Oryctolagus cuniculus: one gene and its partner. Each later gene encodes a partner of the first gene's protein in a complex. Links are inferred from orthologs where the notes say so. Each region holds a gene or a part of one and is shown in the gene's direction. Other genes may lie near its edges.

The links.
Region 2: the proteins of ARPC1B (region 1) and ARPC4 are in contact, whole or in part, in a cryo-EM structure (PDB 6YW6), measured with the Homo sapiens proteins. The link is inferred for Oryctolagus cuniculus from reciprocal best matches to the Homo sapiens genes ARPC1B and ARPC4. Residues at the interface, in NP_005711.1 of Homo sapiens: Glu9, Pro10, Asn28, Gln54, Thr72, Arg74, Asn96, Arg97, Ala98, Arg100, Ser143, Thr144, Cys162, Trp204, His206, Leu245, Pro246, His263, Ala319, Gly320, Lys326, Asn327, Ser328, Met350; in NP_005709.1 of Homo sapiens: Gln17, Cys21, Leu22, Glu23, Asn24, Phe25, Ser26, Ser27, Gln28, Val29, Glu31, Arg32, Glu45, Leu46, Leu48, Glu124, Gln125, Tyr127, Lys128, His129.

What each region holds. Positions count from the first base shown.
Region 1 is NC_091450.1:41,604,891-41,609,046, forward strand, and holds the start of ARPC1B (actin-related protein 2/3 complex subunit 1B), read left to right. Parts: upstream 1-1,257; 5' UTR 1,258-1,390; intron 1,391-4,156. UniProt on the Homo sapiens protein: Component of the Arp2/3 complex, a multiprotein complex that mediates actin polymerization upon stimulation by nucleation-promoting factor (NPF).
Region 2 is NC_091441.1:116,912,205-116,915,844, reverse strand, and holds the end of ARPC4 (actin-related protein 2/3 complex subunit 4), read left to right. Parts: intron 1-415; coding exon 416-586; intron 587-2,668; coding exon 2,669-2,674; 3' UTR 2,675-3,584; downstream 3,585-3,640. UniProt on the Homo sapiens protein: Actin-binding component of the Arp2/3 complex, a multiprotein complex that mediates actin polymerization upon stimulation by nucleation-promoting factor (NPF).

The sequences.
Region 1 (4,156 bases):
AGGATGGACACACGTCCCTCTTATGGCCACGGAGACGCAAGGGAGATTGTGCCAAGCAGCCTTCCCGCCTGGCTTCCTGCTGCTTGGGCCAGCGCCCTGCCCTGCTTGCCTGCCGGCAACCTGGCCATCGTCGTCCCGTGACCAGGAGGAGGCCGCCCGGCTGCAGCTCAGCCAGCCCTGAAACCTGAGCAAGGGGGCGGGGCGTCTCCACCGCAGCCATCCCGCGGAAGCCGGTTCCAGGAAGCAGCAGCTCTCTCTCCGGTCCCCAGGCTCCGCTAACCTGGGGGAGGGGGGTGCTGAGGGGATGCGGCCCAGGGCTCCCCAGTGTGAGGTCCGTGTCCCGTCCCCAGGCCCCTCGGCCTCACCTTAGGGACGTGGAAATGGGCACGGCTGCAGTGGCAGGACCAGGATCGACTGCCCAGTCGCTCATCCCCGCACACTCCCGCATGCCAGGCGCCAGACACCCTGAGGTCCATGTTCCTAAGTAGGAGGTGGGCTTTTGAGGATGGGCAGCAGAGGAAAAACAAACAGCCCTCAAGCCAGCTTTAAAGCAAAGCAGGTCACCCGGGAAGCGGACCTGAGCCTGGGCTGCGGGCTGGGCTCAGGCTGACCTGTTTTCTGTGGGATTCCCGCAGCCGGGGGCCGGGCTTGGATGGGGTCGTCCCAGGTCCCAGGTCCCAGGTCCCAGGTCCAGGAAGGAGGCGGGGGACAACGTGGGATGAGCAGCCCTTGTTTGAACAAACCTGCGGGAGCAGCGAGCTGGGGGCCCCGGCTAAGGACCCCCGCTCCGCGCCGGGAGCAATGGCCCTCCTGGAAAGCCCGGGCGCCCCCACGCGCTCGGACACGGCGAGTCCTCCCAGCCCCGCGGACGCGTGGAACGCAGCGTGCCCGGGGCTGAGTGGCCCGAGGGGCACGGCCACACCCTGCAGCGCGGAGCCCTGCCGCCCCGCTGACCGGGGGCTGGAGCGGCCCGAGCCGGCGCCGGGGAGCGCGGTCCCCCCGCCCCTGGGCCTCCCCCGCCTTGCCCCGGGAGGGCGGCACCGGCGCCGTCTACACCCGCGAAGGGGCGGCGCCCGCGGCCGGGGACCGAGTCTGTGGGGGTCCTCCTGCCCTGGCAGGTGGGGGCAGTCGCCCCTCGCCCCCAGCCTCAGTTTCCCCTTCCGGAGCTGCGCCGGGCGCGCCGGGCGCCGACGTCCGCCCCTCTACCCCGAGGGCTGGGCGGGCCCTCGCCTCCCGCGACCGCCGTCGCCCCGGGTCCCCGCCCCCGGCCCTGGGGCTCGGCCCCGAGGCCCCGCCCCCCGCCCACGAGGAAGTGGCTGCGGCGCGGCGCGGGGCGCAGAGCCGGCTCGGCGCGTCGACTGCCCAGAGTCCGCGGCCGCGGCGCCCCGAGGTGAGGGGCTCGGGCTGGGGCGGGGGCGCGGGGGCCGCCCGCAGGTGGGGCGCGCGGGGGCGGAGGGGGCCCGGAGGTGCGGGGCGCGGGCGGCGGTGGGCGAGGGGCGCGCTGAGCCGGCTGTGCGCCCCGGGAGCGCTCGGGGGGGGGGGGCTCCGGCCCGCGTGCGCCGCCCCGCCGCGCGCCCCCTCCGGCCCGGCCTCGCCGCCGCCGCGGTGGCCCCGTTACTTGGGGCCGGCGGGCCCCCTGCCCAGTCACTTCCCCCGAGCCTTCCGGGTTGCGGCGGCCGGGAAATGAGCTGGCGCCCACGCCCAGCCGCACCCGCCCCGCCCGCGGGGTCCCAGGCTGCGGGGTCCCAGGCTGCGCCGCTCTGAGCTGCGGGGCGCCCGGAGCCGTGCGGCGCCTCCCTTGCTGGAGGGGCGCACCCGGGGGCAGTGGCCGCGGAAGCCACGGCTCCCGGAAGTCAGGCGCACCCGTGGCTTTTTAAGTCTCAGAGACACTGGGTAAAAATGTCCGCTTTACGGACCGCTGACCTAGGCTTGGCGAGCCTCAACATGCCCCATCTGGAAAATGGGCACCTTACGAGGTCTCATAAGACAGCTGGCGACGGGCCGGGCACAGGCGGACAACAAATGGGTGCTATTGTGGCCGGTGTAAAGCCGGCCCAGGGTGGCCAGTGAGTCTGCCCAGGTGGCCCTGACCTCCTGACCGCTGGGGTTTGGAGCTGGCGCCCTCAGCTGTGCCATTCCCAAGCTGCGGTCTCAGTCTGTTTCCTCCTGTGGCTAAGCAGAGGGAGAACGGGTCGGGCTAGCCCGGGGCTGTGTACCGCTGGCCGGGCTGGGGAGGGCAGTGGGCTTGGTCGTGTGGCCAGGGGTCTGTTCCGAGAGTTGCGCTCCTCGCCCGGTCACATCACAGCGCACCGTGGCCTTGTCCCCCGTGACGCTCAGGGTGACCCCGTGTGCAGAAGGCCGCGCCCGAGTGGGTGCGGGTGAGCGGGGTGCTGCCCGTGTCCAGCGATGCTTTCTGTACAGCCGCGCCAGCACTGGGTGTTCCGTGTGTCTTAGCTCTGGGTGGGTGACGCGCGCTGGTGCGTTACGGTGTCTTGTGACTGTTGTGTGACCGTCCCGTGTCCCTGGACTCTGCCTTCGCTTGTAAGGATTCTAGAGCCGAGGAGGGGAGGAGCCCCCGGGGGGCTGCTGCACGGAGTTGAGCAACCGCCTAGCGCGGAGCGCAGTGGCTCTGAGCACTCCGCTGGGCGGGGACTTCCCGGAGCGCCTGCTTGGTTTGGCCTGGGATGCAGCCTAGAGTCTCTGGGCTGAGCGCAAAGCCAGGCGAGGAGGGGCTGCCCGCGGGGGCCCTGGCCGGCCACCCCTTCCCCCGTCATTTCTGGAGAAGCTCCCCTCGCCGGGGGGGGGGGGGGTTGCCCCACCAGGAATACCCCACCAGCCCCTGCCCTGTGAGCTAAGCTGTGTCCCCCCATTCTGGCACTCCTGGACGGAAGCCCTGGCCCCACCCTGCAGACCCAAGCCCGCCCGCCCCGGCCCCTGCTGCGGAGAGCTCTGGCCTCCCTGCTCCGCCCCCACGCCATCCCTGGGTCCCTTGCTGGGCGTGGGCTGCGTGGGCTGCGCTCCTGGGAGTGCGGGATGGTGAGGCTCTGCGGGAGCCAGTGGGGGAGTGTGTCAGGGACTGGGCCCCTGGCCCTGCCCCCCGCTGGTTGCACTTGGCCTCTGGGGGCTGGGGTGGGCACAGCCTTGAAAGAGCCCCCCCCCTCTAGTTCAGCAGCCAAGGAGGCCATGGTGATGTGTGGCTGGGAGTCCTGGGGGCCACGGCCACCACCAGCCTTTGCCTCCCACGGCGCCACGGCTGAGTGCTGATGCCGTGGGCACAGCCCCAGCTGCATTCTTGCAGTAGGGGGCTGGCAGCGGGCGGGCCTGCCCCACCCGGCCCCTGTGCCGTGTCCTAGGCTTAGGGGACTTCTTGAGAAGGAGTGAGTCGTGGGCAGAGTGGCGGGGCTTGGGGGCTGCTTCCCAGGTCTGTCTGGAGCCCCCGCTCAGCCCTCTGACTCCCACTTCCTCCTTAGTCCAAGCTGCAGCCGGGGCGTCATCGCTGAGCCCCCGCGGGAGCCACCCACATGGGGAAGTGGACCGTTCCTCTCTGCCACCCCCTTGTCTCTGCCCTGCCCATTTAAGGGGTGGGTTCTGTTTCAGTTCCTGCCGCAGTGTGATTGGCACATAGGCTCCCCCTGAACCTCCTGCCCCCACTGAGAACCTGTGTGTGCCAGGAATTGGGGGACAGTGCTCCCCAAGTCCTCTCGGCTGCATCCCCCACGGGGACCTGCGGCTGTGCTCCGTCCTCACGGCCTGGGGCACACGGCGTGTGTGAGAGCCGAGGCCCTGACACTGGGATCTGCCCCCCGAGTCTGGGCTCCACCAGCCCCCCAGTTCCTGCTTCCTGGGCTGTGGTTGCGGGCTGGGGTGGGATGGGGGAGGGTTAGCCTCCTCCGGGCCCTGGCCGGATGTCACAGTGTTGCAGGTGGGCTTCCGGCCTTGGCCTGCTTCTGCCCGGGGTGGTGACCTTGGCAGTGGGGGTGGGGCGGGCGAGCATGGTCACCCCTCCCCTGTGCCCTGTCCCCTTTGTGAGCAGCCATTGCCCGGCCCAGGGTACCCAGCAGCCTGCTGGGCTGGCCAAGGGTTCTGAGGTGGCGCTTCTGGTGGCTACTTCACAAAGAGACCTTGTGAGGAGACAGGCAGGGAGGTGGCGCCCCGG
Region 2 (3,640 bases), on another chromosome or scaffold:
TGCTGGCCCGGACACGAGACAGAGTTGGCCTTGTGCCGGGTTCTCTCTTCGATACTCTTGGATGCCCCTTCTCCCCAGTAGTAGAAGGCCTCCATCCCATCCTCTTCCTGAGTCTTGTCTCTGGAGCACACGTTCTCTGTTTTGTCGGCTTCTTCTGTAACAAGATTTCCAATCCCCTTCTCTCTCCTCTGACTCATTCTGAATGCAAAGATGTCTGTGCCGCACAGAGCCTTCCGGAGATGTCTGGACGCTGTGTCGTCAGCCGCGTTCAGTCGTTGGATCCAGGACAGGCACCCGCCGGAGCTGACGGGCTGCTGCCTGTGAGCAGATCCCTGTCGTCCAGAGCTTGTGGATCAAGTCGAGGATGGGCAGCCAGGCGCCCGGCATTCAGTCTCTCCCTTGTCCTGCTCCCCAGGGATACGACATCAGTTTCCTGATCACCAACTTCCACACAGAGCAGATGTACAAGCACAAGTTGGTAGACTTTGTGATCCACTTCATGGAGGAGATCGACAAGGAGATCAGCGAGATGAAGCTGTCGGTCAACGCCCGCGCGCGCATCGTGGCGGAGGAGTTCCTCAAGAACGTAAGTAGGCTTTTCCTGGTTTCCTGGCACGTGGGAAGGAGCTGTGGGGCTTTTCCTGGTTTCCTGGCACGTGGGAAGGAGCTGTGGGGCTTTTCCTGGTTTCCTGGCACGTGGGAAGGAGCTGTGGGGGTGTGGGGAAGTGAGCGCCTGCTGGCAGAGTGCTGCCAACAGCCCGTTCCCCGGTGAGCTCTAGAATTGGCGGTGCGTGGCAGGTTCGCCGGGCGCGGTGGGCACCCGTGTGAGGCTGGTGGGGGTGTGTGCAGTGCCTGTCAGTCTCCGTGGGCACGCACACACGGCAGGTGTCTGCAGAGTGCTCTCCTGTTCTAGGTCACACCCCAGACGAAGCAGTGCAGCCCCGAGGATTTCCCAGGGCTCTGCACAGTCGGTCACGCTGTAGACTAAATATTTCCTCCCAGCGTCTCTCAGAGGCTTAAAGTCTGACTTCCTTGGCCTGGTTTTCATCGCTCTCGTGACTTGGGCCGTTCAGATCCTGCTGGAGTTGTCCGCGCCTTTCCTGACCCAAGGGCCTGCAGCCCCAGTGTTTGCACGGAGGAGCTGAGGACACCGTTGGTCTTGTTCAGACGTTCGGGATGTGCCTTCCTGTTTTTTTTTCTTTCTTCTAAACAGTCTTCGGGTTGTTGACATGTTCCACTCAGAGTTGACTATGCTCCTTAGATGGTAACTCGGTGTTTATTCCGATCACTGCACGCAGAGCTGGCCCAGCAGCAGCGGGGATTCATTCCTAAAAATGGAAACTACTCCCGCGGCCCCGGGGCAGGTGGCCAGCGCGCAGCCGCAGACCACCTGGGTGTGATCTGCTCCTCGGCCCACTTGGGCAGGCCGCTGCACCTCTCCGCTAGGCTGCAGCTCCCTTGGCTGTTCATTAACGTTGGCCTTTCAGGGTAGCAGAGTACAGAAGGAGACAGGCACCTTGTGTGGAGCAAGCTCACAGAGGACCCGCAGGCCTCGAGAGGCAGCTGTGAGGGAGAATGGCTCCTGTCCCAAGTTAGTGGTTGGCCTGCTTGTTCAACATTGAGTTATTTACGACAGCTACGGTTTCCATAGAGTTTTGTAGCTAAGAAAGCCTGTGTACATGTCTGACTTCATAGTCAGTCTTTGAACCCAGGGTTGCCACCATTCTGCAGCTGAGTGAACCAGGGCTCTGGGAGTGAAGTCACTTCCCAAGGACCCATAACAGTCAGCGGAGGAGCCAGAACATGAAGCTAGGTCTGCCTCAAAGAGCTCACATGGCCTCGCAGCATCTGGCCGGGTCAGGAGGCCGGGGCAGGGCGGGGTCTAGCGGGCAGTACCTGTGTGGTGTGCGCTCGATGCACAGGGCCTCGCCTGGAGAGCCACGCAGCCCTCCCTCCAAACAGTTCAGGAGCCTCATTTGTGTCTGGCACCCCAGTGTTCGAGGTTGGCCGCTCGTCATATTCTGGTAAACACTGCTCGTGCCAAACAGTGCTCCCTTGGATCTGGATCAGCCGGGGGCACATTGTAGACTCCAGTCTATAAAATGTCCAGGACTATTATGGGTATTATCCAGAGGTACTTGAGGACAGAAGACTTTATTTCCAGGGCCTGCCATGGTTGGAGGGTGGCTCGCAGCTTGGGACAGAGTACCAGCTCTTGGAGGGTGGCCTACAGCTTGACAGAGCACCAGCTCTTGGAGGGTGACCTACAGCTTGACAGAGTACCAGCTCTTGGGCCTCTTTTCCCTTGGGTCCTCGGGGGACTTTTCTGTGAAGCCCCGAGGTGAGAAGGCAGCCTCAGGTCACCAGGCAAGACGCTGCCAGATCTCTTGTGCCGCCTCCAGGGTGCAACCCCAGGAAACCGTGGAGGCGCCTCATCACTGTTGTCTCGCTGCCTGGTCAGGTGCAGGGTTTGGGGCCTGTGTTCCCACAGGTCACTGCTGAATGCTGGCTGAATTAGCAAAAAGCGGGCCTGTAGGGTGTCCTGGGACCCAGCCGCACCCTTTGGTCTCAGCCCTGTGGCGGCTCTCAGAACTGCCCCTAGCCCCACAACAGGTGCGCCAGGACACCATGGTAACCACCATTCACTGCCTCTTGGTTCTCTTGACAGTTTTAAAGCATCGGGCTGGATCTCGCGACCTTCCCCCTCAGACTCCCCCGTGTCTCTGCGTGTGTCTACGAAGGCGTCCTGGACTCACTCCCCAGAGCGGCGGTGGCGGCGGCGGCGGCGGCAACTGCGGGGAGCTGGGGCAGGCATTAGGTGCGGGAGGGGGTGGTATGTGTGCTTGCTAGCTGGGCAAGAAAGCAGCACTGGACGTGCCCCAAGGCCACACGTGCCTGGTCAGGCTGGCTTCTGATGCTCAGTCCCCTGGGCCGGGACAGGTTTTTTTTTTAACGTCTTGAAATTTAAACTCTGTGCTTGTAGGAGACTGTAACCTTTTTGTCTTTTTTTTTTTTTTTTTTTTTAAAAAAACAACCTCCACCTCCAGTGGCCGTGACTGGTCCCAGTGATTGTACCTTATTGGTCGCCGTGGGTCTGGGCGGGCCTGGAGCCGAAGGCGACCGTTCTTCCTCCCAGTGCCACCCCAGGCGGGGAGCAAGGAAGGTTTCAACTCCAGTTCCTCTCCCTGGCCCTCTAACTCCTGAGCCTCCTTGGGCCAAGCAGAAGTGGTGGGGACCCTCTGCCAGCTTCCTAAGCTCTGCCTAAGGATGGCCAGCCAGCACTGGCTGGGGACAAGGGCTGAATGGGTGACCACCAGCCATAGCTAGAAGCTGCAGCCCAACAGCCAGGCACCTTTGGCTGCAGTGGCCACCGGTGGCCTCCCAGCTGCGAGGGGCCACCCTTTGGCCTTGTCTGTCAGAGCAGTGCCCGCGCTCAAGGTAGAGGTGAGTCCTGCAGCGCTGCCTGGCCAGGCCTCGTGCCTGCTCTGGCTCCTCTGCTCCCACGCGCGCTGTCTTCTCTCCTGATTCTGGTGGACCTCCCTCCCCTAATTAAAGTCTCTTCTTGCCCCTTTGGGGCTGCATGAGGTCTGTGCTGTGTGTGTGTGTGTGTCGGAGGAGGGGCAGCCTGGCTTTCTGCCCC